Linked DNA regions of Diceros bicornis minor. Each later gene encodes a partner of the first gene's protein in a complex. Links are inferred from orthologs where the notes say so. Each region holds a gene or a part of one and is shown in the gene's direction. Other genes may lie near its edges.

The links.
Region 2: CDHR5 (region 1) and ANKS4B share a complex: the UniProt entries of both Homo sapiens proteins name them as parts of the IMAC/intermicrovillar adhesion complex. The link is inferred for Diceros bicornis minor from reciprocal best matches to the Homo sapiens genes CDHR5 and ANKS4B.

What each region holds. Positions count from the first base shown.
Region 1 is NC_080770.1:1,355,947-1,368,158, forward strand, and holds the start of CDHR5 (cadherin-related family member 5), read left to right. Parts: upstream 1-6,454; 5' UTR 6,455-6,631; coding exon 6,632-6,689; intron 6,690-6,771; coding exon 6,772-6,947; intron 6,948-7,351; coding exon 7,352-7,402; intron 7,403-8,718; coding exon 8,719-8,811; intron 8,812-8,963; coding exon 8,964-9,065; intron 9,066-9,170; coding exon 9,171-9,281; intron 9,282-9,386; coding exon 9,387-9,557; intron 9,558-10,141; coding exon 10,142-10,232; intron 10,233-10,410; coding exon 10,411-10,505; intron 10,506-10,605; coding exon 10,606-10,806; intron 10,807-10,910; coding exon 10,911-11,024; intron 11,025-11,101; coding exon 11,102-11,192; intron 11,193-11,289; coding exon 11,290-11,607; intron 11,608-12,164; coding exon 12,165-12,212. UniProt on the Homo sapiens protein: Intermicrovillar adhesion molecule that forms, via its extracellular domain, calcium-dependent heterophilic complexes with CDHR2 on adjacent microvilli. Thereby, controls the packing of microvilli at the apical membrane of epithelial cells.
Region 2 is NC_080765.1:30,104,932-30,117,475, forward strand, and holds the start of ANKS4B (ankyrin repeat and SAM domain-containing protein 4B), read left to right. Parts: upstream 1-6,147; coding exon 6,148-6,311; intron 6,312-12,544. UniProt on the Homo sapiens protein: As part of the intermicrovillar adhesion complex/IMAC plays a role in epithelial brush border differentiation, controlling microvilli organization and length. Plays a role in assembly of the complex.

The sequences.
Region 1 (12,212 bases):
AATAATTAAGGCATTGTCACTTAGAACAAGGAATGACATATGGCATATCTAGCAATAGAGAGCCCAGAAACAAACCTGAGTACACCAGACAGGCGATTTACAATAAAAATGGCATTGAAGAGCAGTGCAGAGAGTATGGTCTTTTCACTACCTAATGCTGGACAACTGGACAGCCATATAGACAAAAATGAAACTCAGTCACTACCTAACATCATATACAACATAAACTCCAGATCTGTATCCGGAACATAAAATAATGCAGCTTCGGGAGGTAACATGTGGGGACACCTCCCATATATATAGTGTCATCTTAAGCATCCTTGTGCTCACCAGCCCTAAACTATTCACAGCCTTTTCTCAGTCCCTGCCAGTTCCATGATGTGAAAGGTCTTTAAGGAATTGAGGCCTTATCCCAAATCCCTCCAAACCCCTCCCCCCACACTCCCCTCTGAATCATCAAGACTGTTGGCTGAAGCACTCCTGGCTACAAGTTTGATAAATCAGCTGTGTTTGATCACAGGTTTCCTGGCTGATCTTTGCAGGGGAGTCGACAATTGACCGTCCTTATCTTTTGGAACTATATACTGACATCCTTAAGGATGAAACGATACAATTTTTGAGATCTGCTCCAAAATTAATTTGAAAAAAACAGAGAAAGTGGATAGGGGTAGATGAGCTTGGTCCTAAGTTGGGGAAGCTGGGTAATGGTACTTGGGAGTTCATCACACCATCCTGTCTGCTTTTGTATGTTTAAATTTTCTATAATAATAAAAGCATAAATAATAATAACACAATCTTTTCCTTCTTCTAGTTCTTAGGAGGGGATGCTCGCTAAGGTCACAGTGACTTTGCACCGTATCCATGTGAGTCCCGGGCTCGTACCCTGAAAGCATCCAGCCCGAGCTAACCTAAGTCAGGCTGGATTTTTGGCTCCAGGGAGGATGGAAGGCAGGATTGTAGATTTGAGGAAATAATTCTTTTCAGTGCCCTCCTCCAACACCCCTAATGTAGGACTAAGCATAGATACAATTAACTTTAATTTGACATTTAAATCTTGGTTAAAACGAAAAAAAGGAGTAGAGAATATCTTCCACGCTTTGCTTCTTCGGAGAATGAAGCTGTTGTGGCGATAAACTCGCGTGTGTGCTCAGGACGTGCCCCTCCGGCGTTCGGCTCTGGAGAAAGGAAGCTTCTTATTCTTTCTTAGAATCCTGGACCCTGAAATTGGCCATTAACACAGAGTGAGGTCCGATCTGAGCCTTCGAATAGTTACTCATGTAAGGTGAATTTTCTGTGCGTTTCTAATGAGGACTCAGCTCAGCCTGATGGCCCGGGAACCCATGGGGTCTTGCTGAACTCTATGGCTTGAAAGTGGCATGTTGTCGCTGTAGCTTGTATCACATGTTGTTTCAAAGTGGAGCCCAAACCCGGGAGGCCAGCGTGTGCGCAGCCGAGACTCCTTGGGGCATCCCTTTCCCGGGTACAGCTGCCCATCCGGGTACAGTTTGGGTGGACACTCTCCTAGTGGTGCGTCTCCATCCACACTGGAAAGACCTGGACATTCCATTCCAACCTGTCGGCACTGCAGCATGACCGCTGCATGCTTGAGGCAGCCATGGAATGGGCGTGTGAGGACAAGGCCAGGGGCTGTCTCGGGAGAAATTCCGAGCAGCAGAGACAATGGGTGACAGCCGTTTCGGACAAGATGAAGGCAGTTACAAAATCCTCTGTGACAGGAACCTGCAGGACACAGCCCGCCCCTCCTTGGCCTCAGCACCACCCACTTCTTTCACTCAGAACTGGCCTCACCCTGGGTCTGTCCCTCTGTGCTAGTGACTGCTTGTGACCTCACGAAGCTTGACCGAAGGCGCTCAGGGCCGTGCCTGTGACCACAAAGGGGCAGCAGGAGGGAGTTCTTTGGGGTGATGGAGTCTTTCTGTACCCTGATTGTGGTGATTGCTACACGAATCTATCCATGTGTCAAAATTCATTTTTTACTGTATGTTAATTTCACTGTATGTTAATTTTTAAGAAGTCAATTTTACTGCATGTTAATTTTTTTTTTTTTTTAAATAGGAAGATTTTTCTTATGGAGATCTGCCTGGTTACTTAAGTGTCTGATGCGCTAAGAAATCCCACCAGTTAAGTGAGTACTTGGAGTTTGGAATATGCTCCAATGCTTAATTGGTCAATAGTGTTAAAGTTTAGGGGATTTTAATCCGCCAAGTTTGTGCAAGAACAGGCCATAGCAGCTGTTTAAAAATACATATAAAGAAAACAACTCTGAGATACCCTTACACACCTATTAGAATGGCCAAAATCCAGAACACTGACATCACCAAAGGCTGCGAGGACACAGAGCAACAGGAACGCTCATTCACAGCCGGCGGGAAAGCAAAATGGTGCAGCCACTTTGGAAGACAGTTTGGCGGTTTCTTACCAAACTAGACCTACTTTCCATGCTATTCAGCAATCATACTCCTTGGTATTTACCAAAGGAGCTGAAAACTTATGTCTACACTAAGACCTGCACATGGATGTTTACAGCAGCTTTATTCATACTTGCCCAAACCTGGAAGCAACCAAGATGTTCTTCAGTCTATGAATGGATAAACAAACTGCGGACATCCAGATGATGCAGTATTATTCAGTGAGGAGGAGAAATGAACTATCAAGCCATGAAAAGACGTGGAGGAAACAAATGCACCTTACTAAGCGAAAGAAGCCAGTCTGAAAAGGCCACTACTGTATGATTGCAACTACGCGACGTTCTGGAAAAGAGAAAACCACAGAGACGGTAGAAGGATCAGGGGCTGGCGGAGAGAGAGATGGAGGGAGAGATGAACCAGAGGAGCAGGGGGTCTTCAGGGCAGTGAAACTGCTCTGTGTGGTGGAAAGTGTCCTTATGCATTTGTCCAAATCCGTGGAATGGACAACACTGAGGGTGAACCCTGATGTAGATTGTGGATTTAGTTAATAATAATGTGTCAATATTGGTTCACCAACTGTAACAAATGTCCCATGATAATGCAAGATGTTAGGAATGGGGAGGCGCGGCGCATGTGTGTTTTTTAAAAATACATGTAAAGGGACCAGCCTTGTGGGGCAGCAGTTAAGCGCACCCACTCCGCCTGGCCGGCCCGGGGTTCGCAGGCCCGGATCCTGGGCACGGACCTAACGCACCGCTTGTCAAGCCATGCTGTGGTGGCGTCCCATATAAAGCAGAGGAAGATTGCCACGGATGTTAGCCCAGGGCAAATCTTCCTCGGCAAAAAGAGGAGGATTGGCACCGAATGTTAGTTCAGGGCTGATCTTCCTCACACACACAAAAATGCATATAAAGTGTAACACAAGAACCATGAGTTTACCACTTCATTTACTGGATTTATAATTTATGATTAAGGACTTCATGAGTACAGTTTCTAAAAACCCTAACTTGACCTAACCCCGCATTGATCACGCAGGAGGAACCCAGCAGCCTCCCCATTTTCCCTCCTCCCGCCGCATCTACACCTCCTACTCCCCTGCCCACCTCCGCGCCCACCGCCTCACCCGCAGCCCGGCCTCCGCTTCCGCGCCGCCCGCCGGGGCCTCTCCAGGGGCTTCCGCGCCACCGGGCGCCTCCTCCTTCGTCCCAGCCTCGACCCTCGCGGCCCCTGGGAGCCTTCGGTCGTCGCCCCCGACCCTCCGGAGCCCTCCTCCGGTGCGCTCGGCCCCTCTGCCGCCCCCCCTTGCAGAGCTGGCCAGCCCCCAACGGCGTCCCCCGCAGGCTCTGCTCGTGCCTCCAAAGCGCGCGCGGTCGAGGCTCCGAGGCTTTGCACGCGCTGTTCCTCCGCCGGGTGTCCCTCCTCCCTCCCGGGGCCCCCCGACCCGCGCAGGCCCGCCCGGCCGAGCCCCCCAGCCCGCTGAGGGGCGCCGCCGCGGCGGAGGGGGCGGGCGGCCAGCCGGGGCGACAGCTGGGGGGGCGGCCCTGACCTTCCGCGCGATCGATGGGGCGCGGCCGGGGCTGCGCGGAGCCGGGGCGGTGCTGAGCGCCCCCGGCACCCTCCGCCCTGGGGCGCCGCTATAAAGGGGCCGCGGGGCTCGGCCGCGGCAGCAGCGCTCAGCACCCCGCGCCCACCATGGTCCCCCGGGCCCTGCTGCTGCTGCTGCTGCTGCCGCCGCTGCTACTCGGGGGCTCCGCCGCGCTCCCCGCGCCCCGCAGGTGAGCCCGCGGCCCCGGGGCCCACGCCCGCCCCCCCGGCCCACCTCGGCCCGACCCCGCGTCCGCGCCCCATCCCTGGCCTGGCCCTGATCCTGCCCGCGCGGCCCGCCATCCCCCTCCCCAGGGCCCGGCGACACTCGGATGGGATGTTCACGAGCGAGCTGAGCCGCCTGCGGGAGAGCGCGCGTCTGCAGCGGCTGCTCCAGGGCCTGGTGGGCAAGCGCAGGTGAGCGCGGAGACCTTTGGTGGGGGGCGCTCAGGTGGGACGGCCCGGCACGCGGCGCCGCTCCCAACCCCCCAACTCCCGGACTAACTCTGATTTGGGGTGGGGGCAGCGAGCATGACCCAGAGAACACCACCACCTGGAACACTTCGGCCGAGGGCCGCCTCTGCCTGCCCCGGCCGGCCGGACACGCCCACCCTGCAGGCCTGGTGAGCACCACTAGCCCCCTGCCCCCTCCGGAGGGTACCCCCCTAGACCCTCCCTCTGGGGCCTGGGGCACCCTGGGCCAACAGCAGGAAGTGGACACAGCAGGGGCCAGGGGCCGGGGGAGGTGAGGCTGAGTCAGGGTGGGTGACCAAAGGAGGCCCAGCTTCAGCAGGTGGGCACAGTCTCCAGCTTCAAGTCCCCAGCCTCTAACCGGGCTGTCTCTGCAGGATGCCCCCGAGTGCCCCCCTGGCTCAGGCCAGGTCTCCTTAGCTGCCTCCTGGATGGAGACCTGGGGTCATGGTTTCAGAGCCGGGCATCCCTGCTGCTGAGAGGACTGGATGAGGCCCTGAGGACCAAGGAGCCTGTCTCCACGCACAAGGGGAGCGGAGCCTGGACCGGGAGGGGTGGGGGGCCGGGGGGATTGCATTTGGCACCAATAAAGGAGGAATTCGGACCCTGGCCTGTGACCCCACTCTGTGTGCTTTGGGTACCGTCAGGCAGCCTCTGTGGTGCAGGGCTGTCGGGGGAGGAGGGCCCCATCCTCGGATTCTGGGACTGCAGCCACGCCCGCTGCCCTTTAAACCTGGGAAACCAGTGGGGCGCCTCACCCTCCCGTGTCCTACCTCTGACATCAGCGCCACCTCCTGTCCCATCCACTGAGCTCCCCAGGGCCCACCTGCACCCCTGTCATCCACTCACTGACATTCAGGGGCTCTGTGGGGGGACTCAGGACGTCTCCCAGCTCCTGCCCCCGGGGCCAGGTGGTCAGTGTGTGCAGCAGGTGGGGGGGGAGTTGGAGGGGGCAAGTAAGCTCAGGGCAGGCAGGAAGAGATGGCAGGGGGGTGGAGGGGTGTCCCCCAGGAGGCCACTCTGAGTGAGAGGACTCTAGTGTGTGTCTTGGCTCCCTGTCCAGGCCGTGTGGTCTCAGACGAGCGGCTTGACCACTCTGAGCCTGTGGGGCAGGGACGATGATGACACCCCTAGAGGTGCTGGGTGTGCAGGAGGCCGTGGAGGCACTGCCAGCAGGGGCAGTTGGATACCAGGAGCTTCGGGAAGGTGTTTCAGGCCCTTAGAGCCTCGATGCAAACAGGCGGGAAGGCCCCCCCATCATGGCAGCCCCTTCCCTCCCTCCTGACCCCTCCCAGTGGCCTCTCTCCAGCTGCTGGGATTTGGCAGGCCAAGGAAAGATGAGGTAGGGCAGTTGCGGGCCTGGGCCAACGAGCCTCATTGGGGTCCCTCTCTGTCAGGCACCAGAGCCCGCGGGGACCCGGGAGCCCCAGGTGTCCCCTGAAACACTGCCACCTCCATCACTGTGGCCCTGCCCAGCCCCACCAGGAGGAATCCGGCTTGTTTCCGGGACAGGCAGGGGTATCCCCAGGACACAAACAACCTTTTCTTTCCAGACCTAGATGGTGGGTGCGGGGAGAGGAGGTGAGCTGGATGGGAACACGGGGTCTGAACGTGCCCCAAGATGACTCTGGCAGAACAGCCCAGCAGAGGGGCAGCTGGGGCCGAGGGGAGGCACAGCAAACACAGGAGCCAGGGCCCAGCCCCCACCCCTCCCCCAGCCTGCCCCCTCCCCAGCCCCTCCCCCAACCCCCATCCTCCCCCAGCCCCTGCCCCTCCCCAGCCCCCTCCCAGCCCTGGGCCCTCCCCCAGCCCCTCCAGCTCCCCAGCTCCCTCCCCCAGCCCCTCGGTGCCCCAGCGGCTCTCTCTGAGCTCCTTTCTGTCTCTTGTCTTGGTGTCTGTGGGTTGAGCCCAGCTCCGGCCCGGGGAACCACCAGGCGGCCCCCTCCTGCCAGTGGGCTAGGCCTGGCCTGCGGCCGGCGGGAGCCCCCTTGGTGGAGGCCAGTCGGTCGTAAAGGATCATAAAGTGGGGCGGTGCCTGGCAGGGGCGAAGGTCGCCCAGGCAGGGACTGCGCCAGCGGCGGCCGGCTGCCCAGAGGGTCCTGGACACCGAACCAGCACAGACCCTCCTGCGGCTGTCGGCCGCCGAGATGGGGGCTTGGGCCCTGCTGCTGCCACTGCTGCTCGTGGGCACAGCCCAGGCCCAGGGTACCTTCAGGGCCGTGGCGGGTGGGGCTGGGGGGCAGGCATGGGGCTGGGCGGTACCGACCCTTCCTCTCCAACTTTCTAGTCTGCTCTGTGAACCAGACCTTCTTTGAAGTCAAGGAGAACACGAATGTCACCGAGCCCCTGGTGGATATCTACGTCCCCGACGACCAGCAGGTGACCCTCGGATCCTCGTCCACCCTCTTCGCATTTCGGATCCAAGGGACCCAGCTGTTTCTCAACGTGACTCCTGATTATGAGGTGTGGCTGGCAGGCCCCCCGTGGGGCATGCCCGTGGGGGTGGCTGGGGCGGCTGACCCCCCACGGGACCCAAGTGGACACCCACCCTCCCTCCCGGAGAAGGGCTCTCTGGGGGCCTTTGGGTGTCAGTTTGCCCAGGGGTCCTGAGGGCTCTGCGCCCCTCAGGCAGGGACTGACTGACCCCTCCGGGGCCCCAAGGCTTGGCAGAGGGCTGGCCTGAGGGGGGCGGGGCCCTGGGGTGACAAAGCTGCCTCGGCCCCCAGCTCCCTCTGGGCTTAGCATGGATGATGGGGACCCTGGGCGAGCACCTGCCCCCTCGGCCTCAGTCTCCTCACCTGTGAAGTGGGGACGCTGTGCTGTGGCCAGCCAGGCAGGTGATTCCTGACACCTGCCCACCCCCACAGGAGAACTCACTGCTGCAGGCACTCCTGGAGTGCAAAAGGGGTGACACCGTGGTGAGTCCTGCCCCCACACCCCCGACCTCCTGGGCATCCCCCCACGTCATACTCTTACCCTGTGACGTCAGAACGCTCTGGGCTTGGACCTCTGCCCTCTGCTCTGCCCGGTCCAGGGTCACTCCCTGGTGACCTCACCCAGTGGTGTATTGTCAAGTGTCACCCTGTGCTGGTGACACCCACAGTTCCTCCAGCCCAGACTCTGCCCTGAGCCCCAGACCCTCAAACCCAGCCCAGCCAACATCATACCCCCAATAGAGGCCCCCAACCCGAGGTCCCGCACGGTGGAGATGCCCCACCCTGAGGGCTAGGTCCTCACCTCCCCCCCGCCACGTCCCTCTATCAGCAAATCTGTTGGATCTGCCTCAAGCTAGACCCTCCCCACCTCCATGCCCCACTTGGGCCTTGGCCACCAGCATCTCCTTTCTGGAACCTTCCAACTAGTTCACCTGCTCCCCTCTTGGCTCCGCCTACCCCAATCCACTCTCCATATGGCAGAAGAAGATCCAGTAAAGCAAGCCGCACGTCCTGCCCAGGACTTCCTCTCATGGCTGCTTTCTCACTCCGGGTCAAAGCCAAATGCACTGCCGGGGTGGGCAAGGCCGGGCGCAGGGACCCAACGCCCAGCTTCGGCGGCCTTGTGCCCTCTCCCAGATGCGCACCTGCCTCCCTCTCTCACCATCTCCGGTCCTCACTCGCCCATGCCCTCCTCGGAGAGGCACCCTGACCGCCTGCCCCACGCACCTGCCTGCTCAGCAGCGAGCCCCGTGGGCGCCCCCACCCCCACATCACAGCACGCCACCCACAAATGTCTCAGGATGACTCTCTGAAAGATAAGGACCCTTCCTCTGAAACATCATCAGGACACTGCTGTGACACTGAGGAAACTGGGACGGCGGGCATCGCGTGACCTCCAGCGTCTGAATCCTGCCCCCAGGTCGCAGACGGGTCTTGACTGATGCTTGTTTGAACCAAGATCCAAGCAGGGTCCGCCTGATGCGGCTGCTTGAGTTTCTCTTAAGTCTTTTTCCGTCTGCTGGTCCCCTTTCTCTCTCCTTTTTCCTTTGAGATCTACGTTTGAAGAAATTGGATGGTTTTGCCGTTTTCCGCGTCTGGGATTTTGCTGGTTGTGTCCCCAGGAGCTGAGTTATTTTCTCCAGGGCACTCACCACCTTCTGTGCTTTACAAATTCCTTCTTGTTCGTTGTCTGTAACCCCTCCTGAGCAGGAGCCCCCGGGCACTCTAGCACCCAGGGTGAGCCAGGGCGGCTGGGGTGGGCACCAGGTGAGGAGGCTGACCACCTCCCGTCCCCCCAGGTGACCCAGCTGAGGGTGTTCGTGTCTGTGCTGGACGTCAATGACAATGCACCCACGTTCCCCTTTGTGGTCAGGGTGGAGAGGGTACCCGAGGTGAGTGTGAAGGAAGCCAGGGGCCGTGGCATCTGGGCTGGCACTGGGCCATCGGGAGCTGGGGTGAGGGGCCAGACGGCAGAGGGCTAGTGGCCGGATGTGTTGGCCATGGGGGTGAGGAGTGTGGCCAGACCAACCCCCCTGTCCCCCAGAACGCTAAAGTGAACACTACCGTCATCCCAGAGACGGAACTGCAGGCCGAGGACCTGGACAAAAATGACATCTTGTTTTACACCCTCGAGGAAGTGACCCCGGTCAGTGCCCCCAATCCCTGCCCCAACTCAGACCCCTCCACCTTGGGCGCCCCTGCCTCTCTGCAGCCCCCAGAGTCTCAGGCTGAGGCCTCCCCACCTCCTCAGGGTGCCAGTGTCTTCTTCTCCTTGGTGGGAGTGAACCTCCCTGCCCTGCAGCTGGACCGGACACTGGACCTTGACAGGTGGCCGAACATGACCTTCCGGCTGCTGGTGCGGGTGAGCAGGCCACACCCACCCCGAGTCCTGGACGCGCGGGTCCCCATCCGAGCTGCCGCCACCCCCAGGCTCCCAGACCTGATCCGAGGGTCTTGGCTGTTGTAGGATACACGGGAAGAGAACGTGACACCCAGCCACACGGCCACGGCCACCCTGGTCCTGGAGGTGGAGCCCATCGATCTGCGGCCCCCCTGGTTCCTGCCCTGCTCCTACACAGACTCTTACGTCTGCATCGAAGCCCAGTACCAGGGGGCTGTCCCCACCGGCTACCAACTGGTACCGGGGACAGGGAGGGCCGGCGCTGGGGGTGGGGGCTGGTGCCACCGGGCCAAATTCGGTTGTGACTGTCAAACAAATGTGGACTCTCCTTCGTAAACCAATCTCGCCCAGCCCGTGGGCGTGAGCAGTGAACAAACTCAGTGAGGGGAACAGGCCCACTGTCCTCAGGGCAGGGCCGGGGGCCCCATGAGGCGGTTGGGACACCGGGAGGACTGGATGGGCCGCGATGGTGCTCCCGAGAGGCAGCTGATCTCTGACAGGCTGGCTGTACCCGCTGGCGCCATGGGGCGCACTGAGGCAGTGGGGCCTCCAGGGCCTCCCCTTGTATGCGAGAGGCCCAGTCCGGGGCCCTGTGTGGGCTGCCTCTGGAGACGTGTTGTTCAGATCCATCCATATCCTGGGGCAAACTGATTCATGGTGACGGATCTAAGGGGCGTGATGACTGATCCTGTCGGCCACTTGGACACCTCTGGCAGGCCCGCCCAGGGGCCATCTCAGGCCTCCTTGAGGGAGAATGAGAGGGACCGAGCTGGGCCCTTGCACCAGCCCCACAGAGTCCCCTCCCATCCCCGTTCCCGCAGCTGTCTCCCCTCATCCTGCATCCAGGGCCCATCTACGCTGTGGACGGGGACAGGGCCATCAACCAGCGTATCATCTATAGCATTATAGGGGGTGAGTGGGGACCGGGTCCCCAGCTTCTCTCTCCATACAACACCTCGGCCCCATCCCCACCCCCACTGTGGGCAGAGGAAGCCCCAGGGGGACCGGCCACATGGGCAGAGCCAGCTGGGACCCTGGACCTCAGGCCTCCAGAGGGGACCAGGGCCAAATATTACCCCCGTCCTCCCAGGACACGAGGACATATTCACCATTGACGCTGACTCGGGCAACCTCACCATGACCCGGAGCGTCCCCAGCCCCAAGACCTTTCTTATGTGGGTCAAGGTAGGTGCCTTGGCCGGGTCTCCATGGGCCCCTCCTGAGCTTCAGGTTGCAGGGTTGCCCTTCGAGGGCCCACTGACCACTGCCGCCTCCCCACCCCCAGGGGGAGCAGGCAGACCAGGCCCGCTACTCGGTGACCCAGGTCACAGTGGAGGCCCTAGACGCTGCTGGGAGCCTGCCCCACTTCCCCGAGAGCCTGTACCGCGGCACCGTGGTGCTGGGCTCAGGAAGCGGCGAGTTCGTCAAGGACGCAGCCACCCCCTCCCAGGCTCTGAGGATCCAGGCCCAGGACCCCGAGTTCCCAGTAGGCACCGCCTGGCCCCTGGGTCTGCCTGGCCTCCCTTCTGTGGGTGGGTTGGGGGGATACGGGGGCAGCCTGGGTCCAGGACTCACTGGGGCCGTGTCCAGGACCTCAACTCGGCCATCACGTACCGAATCACCAACAACTCCGACTTCCGAATGGAAGGGGAGGCCGTGCTGGTGGCCAACCCACTGACGCAGGCGGGGGTCTTCTACGCAGAGGTGAGGGGCCTGTGGCATCTCTAAGGGGTGGGAGTTAAGGCGGGGCCTAGGTGAGACAAGCCCCCTTCCTGCCCCAGGTCGAGGCCACGAACACAGCGACTGGAGGCACAGCGACCACACTGGTGGAGATACAGGTGTCAGAACAGGAGCCCACCCCCACCCCCACAGGTGAGCCTCCAGGGGTCCCCGGTGATGGCTCGGGGGGGGCTTCTTGCCACAGGCATGCTGGGGGCAGAGGCAAGCTGAGCCCTGTGCCTGGCCCCAGACCCCCCAGGTCCTTCCACATCCCCAGAGGCTGGAGGAACAGCTGGGCCCTCAAGCAGCACCACTTCAGAAACCCCCAGGCCCTCCGGGCCCTCTCAGGGACCCTCCACGACCAGCGCTGGGGGGGACACTGGCCCACACTCCCCCCCAGGCACAACTCTGAGGCCGCCTGCCTCGACCACGCCTGGGGGGCCCCCCAGTGCGGGAACCAGCACCTCCCCTCCATCAGCCTCACCCAGCGGGGGCTCAGCACAGACTCAGAAGCCAGGAATCTCGCAGCCAACAGCCCCTGGGCTCAGCAGGACCCCCCAGCCCTCAGGTAGCACCCCCATTTGCCCTAGAGTCACCCTCATGCTCCCTGACTCATGACTTGGGTGGTCCTGGGAGTCACCGGAGGGCAGGGTCCGCCCCAGGTTGGCCCAGAATGACCATGAGATCCCAAGACGGGGTCTGCTCTTTCTGGGCAGAGACAGACAGGTCCTGGGGGCCCTGAGGAGGTAAACCGGGAAAGGTGAGTGGAGGGCAGGGCAGAGGCCACACGTTGGCTTCAGCGAACCCCACACTTCCCAGGGCCGTCCACTCCACCGGCATCAGTGCTGCCCTCATCTCCCTTCCTGTGGTGTTGGACCCCTTCCTCCCACCTGGGGCTGGGGGGCACTGACCCCCACCCCCCTCCTTCCCTTCAGCAGTCTGGCCTCCCTGGGGGACCCTGGGAATACAGCTCCTTGGGGGGGCGTCAGTACTGCCCACTCTCCAGAACCCTCACTCCGGGAGGCGGCCAGGCTGGCTTCTACTCGGGGAGTTCTGAGCTGGTACAGGCTGAGCTGGTGAGCGCTTGTAGTGCCGACAGCAAGTGGGCAGTGGTGTCACCAGCAGGCACGCCCGGGATTGGAGGAGGCAGCACCTCCACGGGGGGTGTCGGGC
Region 2 (12,544 bases), on another chromosome or scaffold:
CAGTTTTTATAGAACTTAAGCTTTGGGTGAGGACTCAGGTCATGTGATTATATTGGTTGAAGCCTTCAGTTCACAGAACCAGTAACTAATTAGCAAGGGGAAAAGGCCTAAGAAAAAAGGAAATTTGTCCAGCTAACAAAGCCAGCTGATTCAAGTGTAGAATTTAAGTTCATAGCCCCTATTCAGACTATCCAGTGTTCACATTTTAAAGAATTTCTTTTTGGAAACCTTTATAAAACTTTCCACTATTACAACACCATCTGGGATTTAGCATTTATAAAATGTGCAGTTAAGAGATGCCAAGAGATTTCTCATGAAAACCAGATGGTACAATAACAGCTCTGTCTATTTTTCTGGCAGAAAAAATAGGGCTTTGAATGGCTTGAAACTTATATGAATAAATTAAGCCCAATCCATACATCAGGGACACTACAATTTCAATAGTCAACTCACCCACCTAAATATTTTCATAAATGTTTTCATTTGGAGAAGAGAAAACAAAAGGGCAGACAATGGTTCCTTTGATTGCTTCATGTTTGTATTTAACAGTGTCTAAGGAAAACAACACCAATGACCTTCAGTGTGGGAAAGAAAGTTTCTTTGTATTTTAAGAGTGATATATATGTTTAAATGAGAAACAGGGGATCGAAATCTCTTTTGAATAGGAAAAATCGCCATCAAATAGTTTGAAGAGTTTTATTACTGTGCTAAAGAGAAAAAAATTCATGTCTAAGTGACATTTTCTAGATAATACATTTGAAAATGTCTTTACCTCAACAGACATGTTTCTCATAAAGCCAAGCTCAGCAAACATAGCAGTAGTGTGTTAACAATGCCTTGTTCTGCCCTCGCCTGATTCCTGTAAGTTTTCTGTGTAACAACAGGACTTTTGTAATCGCTTTAACTTCCTTTGCTTTCTGTTATTGCCTTTATTTTCATTAAAATTCATAATAAGATACTCATTAGATGAAGTAATCTTGTTAAAAGCAAATGTTCTTCTTGGATCTTTTCTTTTTTCTTATTATTTGAAAATGTGCTTCCCTACCATACAAGTGAATTTCCTCTGTAATTAGACATGAATAGCTTTGGAGAACAAATACTGTCTGCTTTTGAAAGCCAGAGCTCTTGGAGTGCAGGGGGCAATCTCATTAATAAAAATATGTGTTTCTGGGCTGCAAAAGCTGTTGAATTTCTTTCCCAATTAGCAGTGAAGGGTTTTTCAGAACAAAAAGGGAGCAGTTTGGTTTCTACTTTGCTGGCATTGGTTTTTCTTGGGGTAGACTGGAAGTATCAACTACCGCTAATCTTTGTCCCTTCTTTTCCTCTCTCTGAGAAAGAAACACATAGGACTTTGTTTATTATAGATAGGTCAGAGTCCTAGGTAAATTCTCCATCCAAGTGCTACTTTCTCCCAGCCAGGATAGACTCCATGGTAGATGGGACACCTGTTTAGACCACCCAGCTGTCAGGTAGCTGCTATTGAGGCAGAAGAGGCCGAAAAATTATAAACACAACAATGAAGAGTTGAAAATGCCATTGCTCTATGGGGAGGAGGAGACTCATTGGTGGGAGGATCTTTCCAAGTGCTGCCTCTGGGGGCTGATTAACCCTGTTTTCTCCGGGTCATTGGCAAAAAGAAATGGTGTCTGGGCAGAAGGGCCTCTCAAAGTGAAGTAGTTAAATATTACCTGATGTGCCAGGGAATAAGTTGAGTTTCTAGAGTTTTAGGAAAACAAAGAAGGGAAAGAAGCTTACCCCTCTGAACCTAAGTGGCAGCCAGAGGGACAAAGAAATCACTGGCAGGATGTTTCCCTAAGGCTATACGAATATTACAGGAATGTAGGGAGGTGTGGGGGGCAGGGTTGGTTCCAAAAGAAGGTTGATGAGGGCCTTGACTTGCTAAGTAATAGAACAATCCAGGGGAGGGTCTTTGCTCCTTAAGTCTGATCTTCAAAGTCTCTCCACTATCGTGCATGACAGATATTCTTCTCTGACCTTCCAAGACTCCAGCAGCATGCTGTTGGAACAGACTCAAATACTTGTTTCCGTAAGACCAATACAGTCAGAACATACAGTCAAAATCCACAATTGCCCCACAATTTTCCAGACTCCTCACAAGGAACTAGTGTCTACATTATATGCAAATCTGTGTTAGTTATTTTCATTAATCTCTGCCCTCAATATCTCCTGCCAATTTTGCTTCCTTTGGGCTTCGAGGAATAAGAAAATACACCAATTATCGCGCTATAGTGCTCACTCTCTCTCTTTCTCCTCCCTAAGCCACAATCGCACTACTTCCAGTTTGTAAAACCATACTTTATAGTTTGTAAGGAATTTTATCTCATTCATCTTCACTACTGTAAGCTTAGGTGATGATGACATGATCATAAGCAATATCCCCCAATTTTATTCACAAAGAAATGGAGACTCAAATAGATGGAGTAACTTGCCCCAGATCATATGGACTCTAGGTCTTCTAGCTCCAAGTTCAATCCTCTTTCTCAACCTCTTCTTGAAGGGATGGGGTAGGGAGGATCTTCAAATTCAGAAGGATTTGTTTCTGCTTCTCCTCTCCTTCCCCATCCATTCTTATTTCAAGGAAGAAGTTTTCTCAAGGAAATGGCCAGAGGATGTCAGGATCCTTACCATTAAGAAAAAAAAAAAAGTTCAGATGTTTTACCATTTCACAGGAGAGTTTAAATCTAAGTCGTAAGTACCACTGGAGTTGAGAAACTCCTCGTTCTCCTCCTTGTCCTCCATTTCCAACCCTTCTTCCTCTTCTCTATAATTGCTCTGTCCTCCTTCTCCTTTGCTTCCATCCTCATCCCTATCATTCTCTTTCCCCTCATCACTGCTATCGTTATCATTATCATCACCACCATCATCTTCATCCAGTAGAAGACTCCTTGTCTGACACTTGGCATTCTACTACAATTAATCCATCTTTGAGAAGCCCTCTCTCAAGTTATATATGATTTTCTGTTTAAGAGTGCATTAATGAATGCAACTGTGTCTAAATTAAAGTGGCTTTTTAAAAAATTAATTGAGGAAGAATGTTACCTTGTTCTCAAAGTACCCACAATGATGTTTGGATATTTTACTCTCTTTGGGCTAAAAAAAATTTTTTTTTTGCCACTAAATAATGCTTCCCTCCGAGTTGTTTCTATAGCTTCTACTGGTGTTTTCATAGAAACCAGGAAAAGGAACAAACATTGATCCTTGGAGCTAATTTTTTGAGGAAACTGCAAATGGAAGCCTTGTACTTTTTCAGAATGGGCAAATAATTTATCTTGGAATAAAGACTTGGAAAAAAAGAGATAATAGGAATAAACAGTTAAAGACTTTGAAAATAGACCTTCCTCACATCAATTCTGTGGAATATTATCCAAACATATTAAGGATTTTGTAACAATATGGGAAATGTTCGTGGTAGACTAAAGAGAGGAAAAGACACAATATAAAATGGTATGTATTTGTGATGAAAACTATGTAAAAAATACACCACAAGAGACTATATAAATAGTGCATCAGTTGTGTAAGGGTGATGGGTTCTAATTTTATTGCAATGCCTTCAGAGAACATGGTCTGCATGAAACCTATTTGTTGAGGCCTGCACTAACCGGTTCTATTAGGTGGATAATTTTTATAAATCTTCTCTGTGTGTTTGCAAAGAGCATGCATTTTCTATTGAGTGCAGGGTTCTGTATAGGATTGTTAGATCAAACTTTTTAATTGTGTTCAAATCTTTTATATCTTTACTAATCTTTAGTCTCATTGACATATAACATTTAGGGGGTATATTAAAATCTCCCACTATGATTGTGGATTTGTTCTTTCTCTTTAAATTCTATTAATTTTTGTTTTCTCTATTTTGGGGCTATGTATTAGGTATATAAAAGTTTAGGACTATCATATTTTCTTGATGAATTTTTCCTTTCATCATTATGTATGATCTCTATTCCCAGTAATTTTTTTTGGCTTAAACTATATTTTGGTATAAATATAGCTATACCAATTTTTTGTTAGTATTTGCTCAATATAACCTTTCCTTTTTTTTTTTTTTGTTGGGGAAGATTGGCTCTGAGCTAACACCTGTTGCCAATCTTCCTCTTTTTGCTTGAAGAGGAGTGGCCCTGAGCTAACGTCTATGCCCGTATTTCTCTATTTTGTTTGTGGGTTGCTGCCACAGCATGGCTTGATGAGCGGTGAAGGTCTGCACCTGGGATCCAAACCTGGGCTGCCAAAGCAGAGCATGCTGAACTTAACCATTACGCCACCGGGCTGGCCCCCAACCTTTCCATTTTTTGCTTTCAGTCTTTCTGCAATTTTATATTTTAGATGTGTCCATTGTAAATAAGACATGGCTGAGTCTTCTAACTGGTAAGTTTGGTCCATTTACATTTATTTTGATTACAGATAGATTTGGACCATGTTTTTGGTCTTATATTGTGATCTTTATTTACACTAATTTTTCCATGCTGTTCCTTCTTTACTTAAGGTGAAAGTTTAAATTATTGATTTGAGATCTTTCTTCTTTTCTAATACAGGCATTAAAAACTGCAAATTTCCCTCCTCAGTTCTGTTTTAACTGTATCCTATAAATTTTGATATGTTGTGTTTTCATTCAGTTCAGAAGGATTTGTATCCAGAATATATAAAGAACTTTTATAACTCAATAATATGAAGACAACCCAGTGAAAAGGTGGGCAAAGAATTTAAATACAAGATAGAATGGCTAATAAGCACATGAAAATGTGCTTGACAGCATTAGTCATTAGGGAAATGCAAATTAAAACCACAATGATATCACTTCACACCCACTAGGATGGCCATAAGCAAAAAAATAGACAACAAAGGCTGCAAGGATTTGGAGAAATTTGAACCATCATACATTGCTGATGGGAATATAAAATGGTACAGCCACTTTGGAAAACAGTTTGGCAGTTTCTTAAAAAGTTAAATATAGGGGCCGGCCCAGTGGCACAATGGGTTAAGTGCGTGTGCTCTGCTGCGGCAGCCCAGGGTTCGCTGGTTTGGATCCTGGCGCATACCGACTCACCGCTTGTCAAGCCATGCTGTGGTGGCGTCCCATATAAAGTGGAGGAAGATGGGCATGGATGTTAGCCCAGGGCCAGTCTTCCTCAGCAAAATAAGAGAGGAGGATTGGCAGATGTTAACTCAGGGCCGATCTTCCTCAAAAAAAAAAAAAGTTAAATATAAATTGCCATACAACCCAGCAATTCCACTCTTTGGTATATTCCCAAAAGACATGAAAATATATGTCCACACAAAGACTTGTATGTGAATGTTCATAGCAGCATTATTCATAAAACTAAACTCTGGAAACAATTCAAATGTCCATCAACTGTTGAGTGAATAAAGAAAATTTGGTATATTAGCATAGTAGAATATTATTCAGCAATAAAAAGGAAGTACTGTTACTTGCTATAGCATGGATGAACCTCAAAAAATTATGTGAGACTGAAAAAAAGCTAGACACAAAAGACTATATATTATATGATTCCATTTATATGAAATGCCCATAGAAAGCAAATCTGTAGAGATAGACAGCAGATTAGTGGTTTCCTGGAGTTGGGAGTGGGAATGGGGTTTGACTATAAATGACCATGAGGGATATTTTTGGCGTGATAGATATGTCTAAAATGGAATTATGGTGATGGTTACACAACTCTGTAAATTTACTAATGATCATTGAATTGCACACTTAAAATGGGTGAATTTTATAGTATGTAAATTATACCTTAAAAAAGGCAGTTAAAAAAACAAACCTCCCCAGTGAACTAGACTAGTTTTGAATTGTTTGGAAATTATTTTCTACATTCTGTGCCTAAATGACCAATATTATACTCAAGACTTGTTAATGGACATTAAAAAATTAAATGTGCCTCAAAACACTCAAGATGAACACAGCAGTCCTCAATATTCAATGTCACGGCCATTCCAGAAAGAAAAGGTCCAAGTTCAGTGCTGTGAACCTTTCTGGCTGCCATCCATGGAGGGAGGCTGGAATGAGCTTTGCCCTGGGGTGACACTCTTCCTTGTCACTGATTAACCAGCTTCGTAGGAAGGCTGCTCCACTAACATCCTGCTCTGCTCAGAGAGTGATATCTGGCCGAGCAGGAAAAAATGTCCACTCACTACCACCAAGCTGCTAGTGATAGCTACCTGGAACTTCTAAAAGAGGCTACCAAGAGAGATCTGAATCTTTCTGATGAAGATGGCATGACTCCCACACTACTGGCAGCCTACCATGGGAACTTGGAAGCCCTAGAAATAATCTGCAGCAGAGGGTAAGTTCAACCTGAGGGTTTCAGTTGGAAACTGTTTATAGTAGGATTCGGCAGACAGCAGCAAGAGGCAGGGAAGTCAATGAACATACTTGGCCTTCTTTCTAGACTGTCTAAGTAGTTGTCTTTTTAGAAAGAGGGAGAAAATCACCTAGAGATTCTCTCTTTTCCTAGTGAAAACTGGCACCATGGGGGTGGCTCATCCGGTATGAGCCACACGCAGAGAGATCCTGAACTCTAAGGCACTGAGGGGAAGATATTTTAATCCTGTGCCTTTAAAGATCTTTTCTATGAAATGTAAATGGTTGACTCCTTAAAAACAGATCTCTGTTCTACTTGGTTTTAAGATGTCAACCTTGATTGGAACAAATGATGTGTTTTTATTTTATTTTTTTCATCTATGCCATTAAAATCCCACAGCCTTTTATTAATACTCAATCTTAGAACAAGCCCATGATTCTTAGATGAAGTTGCTGGCTTTACAAGCTGTGAAAGGAACCTTCAGCCTGTCTTAACTTTATTACCTCTCTGGCTGTTAGATACATACATGCACACACATTCCTCCTAAATTCTAATGCAGGAATTAGCTAGCTCTTTTCTTCTGCTTGTTACTGAGGGGGCTAGGCAGCATTGGCAACTAGAACCTAAGAGAGGTAAAGAAAGAAAAAAAGAAAATGTAAATAAAGGTGCCAAGTGAATTTATTTCAATTCAATACACCTTTATTTATACATATATATAAATATACATATTTATATATATATCTGCTACGTGCCAGCCATTTTGCTAGCCACTGGGGATGCTATGATCAACAAAAGAGACACAATTCCGTCCTCATGGTGATCAGATTTAAGAGAGGAAGGCAGAAATTATATGTCATGTATGATGTGTGTTACAAAGGGAGAAAGAGAGGACACTAAATAAACAACCCAAGCATCTAGGCAGCTATCCCGATCTAAGGGGTGAGGGAAGGCTTTCCAGAGAGTTTAAGCTGGGATGTGAAAAGTGAGAAGGAGTTGGCCAGATGAAGATGGAGGGAAGGGTGTTTCCCCTAAGTGAGAGCACTGTGCATTCTGGGCACTGAAGAAGTTGGGTGTGGCTGGATGTGGCTTGAGTGGCAAGAGGTCAAGTTGTAAGAGACAAGACCAGATCACAAGAGCCTTGTAAACTCTATTAAGGAGTTGAACTTTATCCTAAGGGCATGGGAAGCTATTGTCATGGGTTTACACAGGGGAGCTGCCTGGTAAATTTGCGTTTACAAAATTTGCTCAGGCAGCTATATAGCAGTCAGAGAAAACGTTTGGGGGCTATTTTAATGGTTGAGATGAGAGATGAACTGGACTTGGGTAGTGGCAGTGGGAATGGAGAGATGTGGATGGATTTGAGTGGCAGTTCAGATGTAGGAGTGATTATGATTGACTGGATGTTGGGGTGGGCAGATAAAGAAAGAGGAGGATCCAGGCCTCAGCTTCTGGCTTCGACAGCTTGTCACTGTTGGCACCCTTTACTGAAGTGGGGGGCACTTTAGGAAGACCCAAAGGTGGAGAGATTTCCTGAGTTGAGAACTGAATGAGGAAGTGAGTGGCGGTTGATGTTCTCCATTCCTTTTGCCTGATTTGACTTCCTTTTCACAGATACCTCCTTCTATCCCCACCCCCATCAGTCAGCCTTCTCCTGATTGTAATATTGTGCATGTCTCCCCTTTTCCAAAACTTTCTTCATCCACTCAAAGTATACCGCCTCTGACCAAGTGCAAGATATCAGGTACTTCACAACCAATGCAAGCCCTTGCTCCCTTTGAGGTCCAATTTAAATGGCAACGCCTAGACATTTTTTCTCTCTCTGTCTCCTTTGTATGCCGGAAACATTTTCTTACACTTAGTGTTCTGCTGGTCTTTATGACAAAAGTAACATAAGCTGAGCCCAGAAAATTAAATCTTATGTAGGCACACAAATTATAAAGAAAAAATGTCCTATAATGCCATACTGTTAACATTTGTATGTTTTGTATATATAATATATATAGTGTGTATAAATATATAAATATTACATATATATTTATACACACACAAAAAGATGGTATCCTAAGTAGGCAATTTGGTAGCATGCTGTTTTTTTTTTTAACCACTCAATACATCATGAACATTGTTACATGTCAACACATATTCTTTTATAATTTAATTTTCAGGAACTTCTTACTATTCTAGTCAATATATATATAGTTCTTAGTCAATCTCTCTTTTGCACAAATAATTTCTTTCCTGTAATTTAAACTGTGCTGTGATGAATATTTTTATACATAAATCTTTGCTCACATTTTCTTGAGGATAAATTCTCCAAAGTGAAATTTCTGGATCAATTGGCATGAGCACTTTTGCGTATGTATTGACAACTTGCCCTTCAGATAGTGAGTACCCATTTTTGTCAGTACTAAATAAAGGTCCAATATCAGTGCGGTTTTAATGTTCTTTTCTTTGGTTACTAGTGAGGTTGAAAATTCTTTTCATGCTTAGTGACCATTGTATTTTCACGTTTGTGAACTGTGTATTTATAGCCTTGTCCCACTTTTACATTGGGATCTTCAACATTTCTCGTTGATTTATAAAAACATGTTTTTTAAAGTTAGAATATAAGCTTTTTCTCATTATATTTCAAATATTTTCACAATTCGTGGTTAATATTTTTGACAATCTATATTTTAAAAATGAGAATATAAATATATTTAAGTATATATTTTTAAGTGTATATATTTTTATACTTAAGCCTGTCAATTTTACTATATAATTCTAACTTTGAGGTCATGCCTAAATATTGACTGATATTTTCTTTAGTACTTTTTTAGTTTCATTTTTTATTTTAAATACTTAATTCATATATCATTTATTTTGATTTAAGGTCTGAGGTTATGATCTACTATACATTCTCCAAGTGGTTAGTCATTTGTCCCAACACAATTTGTTACATAGTCCGCTCTTTTCCCATTTATCTGACATAGTAAAGTAATTTTTCTCAATGTAATATCAAAATCCAGTCCGCTAAGTTATATTTATTATACATTGGCTATGGGCACAAAATCCTTCTAACCCTGCGCTTTCTAGTCCTTCCTTCTCAACTTTTGTCTTCTGATTCTAGTACATCCCGGATTTTGTTTCCTTCTTTCCAGAAGCATTTAAGATGTGTTACATTAAGTTGGCCTGGTGTAGGCTGAAAAAAAATGTATTGTGAGGGTTTTCCTAGGTCATCTCTCATTTTGACCACAGCCAATCTTTAGGAATTGTGTGAGATCAAATTGCCAATTAGAGTGAAGGGAATTAAAAAGGGAAACACAGTAAAAATTGAATCTAGAAACTAATCAATTGTTGAGGTCCATTCCAGTCTGATGATTGCAGTGTTTATCAGTCACTACCTGATTGAGACAATGAATCATGTGGTAATGATTAATATCCAAACTCTGGCTTTGTTAAAAACTGTTTTTCTATTTTAAACTTAAATATGAAAGCATTTACTTTGTGTTATCCTACACTGGGAAGATGCCCCCAATTACACAAAATTTCATTTTGCCTTTAATGTGTGCATGATATTTAAAATTTTCTTTCATTTTCTAAAATGGAAATAAATTTTCTTCCTCCCTGATTCTTAAAGGAAAAGTAATACTTATTGTTACATTTCATATCATATTGGAAAGATATATTTAATAAAGTAAAAATCACACCAATTCTTCCAGTCCTTAACATTTGGGTATATATCCTTCCAGCCTTTTTCCTTTGAGAACATGCACACACATGTACATTTTTACTCCTTAAAAAGACAATCATATTATATAAACTGCTCTGAAACCTGCTTCTAATTATTTAACAATATATCATGGACCACTTGTGCTTAAAGGTAGAGATCCATGCCACTATTATTTTTTTTTTTTTTTGATTTTTATTGATATTTTAATGGTTTCTAACATTGTGAAATTTTGGGTTGTACATTTTTGTTTGTCCATCACCCCATATATGACTCCCTTCACCCCTTGTGCCCACCCCCCACCCCCACTTCCCGGGTAACCACAGTCCAGTTTTCTCTGTCCATGTGTTGGTTCATATTCCACATATGAGTGAGATCATACAGTGTTTGTCTTTCTCTTTCTGGCTTATTTCACTTAACCTAATACACTCCAGGCCCATCCATGTTGTTGCAAATGGGACGATTTTGTCTTTTTTTATGGCTGAGTAGTATTCCATTGTATATATATACCACATTTTCTTAATCCAATCGTCAGTCGAGGGACACTTAGGTTGCTTCCACTTCTTGGCTATGGTGAATAATGCTGCAATGAACATAGGGGTGCATAAGCCTCTTTGGATTGTTGATTTCAGGTGCGTTGGATAGATTCCCAGTAGTGGGATGGCTGGATCATAGGGCATCTCTATTTTTAATTCTTTGAGGAATCTCCATACCGTTTTCCATAGAGGCTGCACCAATTTGCATTCCCACCAGCTGTGTATGAGGGTTCCTGTTTCTCCACATCCTCTCCAACATTTGTTGTTTTTTGTCTTGGTGATTATAGCCATTCTAACGGGCATGAGGTGGTATCTTAGTGTTGTTTTGATTTGCATTTCCCTGATGATTAGTGATGTTGAGCATCTTTTCATGTGCCTATTGGCCATCTGTATATCTTCCTTGGAGAAGTGTCTGTTCATTTCCTCTGCCCATTTTTTGATCGGGTTGTTTGTTTTTTTGTTGTTCAATTGTGTGAGTTCTTTATGTATTATGGAGATCAACCCCTTGTCAGATGTATGTTTTGCAAATATTCTCTCCCAGCTGGTTGGTTGTTTGTTCATCTTGATTCTGATTTCATTTGTCTTATAAAAGCTCTTTAGTCTGATAAAGTCCCACTTGTTTATTTTTTCTTTAGTTTCCCTAGTCTGGGTAGGCATGTCATCCGAAAAGATTCCTTTAAACCCAATGTCAAGTAGTGTGTTGCCTATATTTTCTTCTATGAGTTTTATAGTTTCAGGTCTCACCTTCAGGTCTTTGATCCATTTTGAGTTAATTTTTGTGCATGGCGATAGCACATGGTCCACTTTCATTCTTTTGCATGTGGATGTCCAGTTTTCCCAACACCATTTATTGAAGAGACTTTCCTTTCTCCATTGCATGTCCTTAGCACCTTTGTCGAAAATTAGCTGTCCGTATATGTCCATGCCACTATTTTTAATGGCTACACGGTATTCTGTTTTATGGTTTCATCATAATTTATTTAATCAGTTGCCTGTTCATGATGTTTAATTTGAATCTAGTCTTTTAACTATTATAAGTAAGTTAGGATGAATATCCTTGATCATTCATCTTTGCACAAGGGTCTGATATTTCCTTAGGATAAATTCTTTTTTTTTTTTTTTTTGTGAGGAGATCAAGGCCTGTGCTAACATCCGCCAGTCCTCCTCTCTTTTTGTTGAGGAAGACTGGCCCTGGGCTAACATCCGTGCCCATCTTCCTCCACTTTATGTGGGAGGCCGCCACAGCATGGCTTGCCAAGCAGTGCTTTGGTGCGTACTTGGGATCCGATTGGTGCATGCCCGGGATCCGAACCAGCGAACCCCGGGCCGCCACAGCAGAGTGCATGCACTAACCGCTTGTGCCACCGGGCCGGCCCCGCCTTAGGATAAATTCTTAAAGGCAGAATTGTTGATTCAAGAGGGTGCTATGTTTTAAAGACTTTTGGTATGTATCATACCAGGAAATTTGAACCACTTTATGCTTCCTTCAGCATTGTTCATTTCTCCACACTCCTGCCAAAACCGAGCATTACTATTCTTTTTAATCGTTGCCTATCTGATAGGCAAAAAAATAGTAGGGCATCGTTTTCATTTCTTTGATTATTAGTGAGTCCAAATATCCCTTCTTCTGTAGAAAAACATTTTTGAAGGAATAATATTTTTCGGAGAACAACTTCACAAAAAATCAAATCAACTTCAAAAAGAGAAATTGAAATGGAACAGATGCTCAGAGTAATTTAATATAAGACAATTGCCTATTTAGTGACAATAATACCAATCCAGCTTTAAAAATTATTGCCCAAATGCACTGATCTACCAAAAAGCAAGGGCAAAATATAGATTAATTTAGAATTTCTTCATTTGGAAAAAAAAAGGAATAAGAAAAAAAAAAAAACACTAGACTGAATTTAGCCCAAGGAAATGATATGTACATCATTGATGCTATATGTAACGTCAATATTGGACTCAGG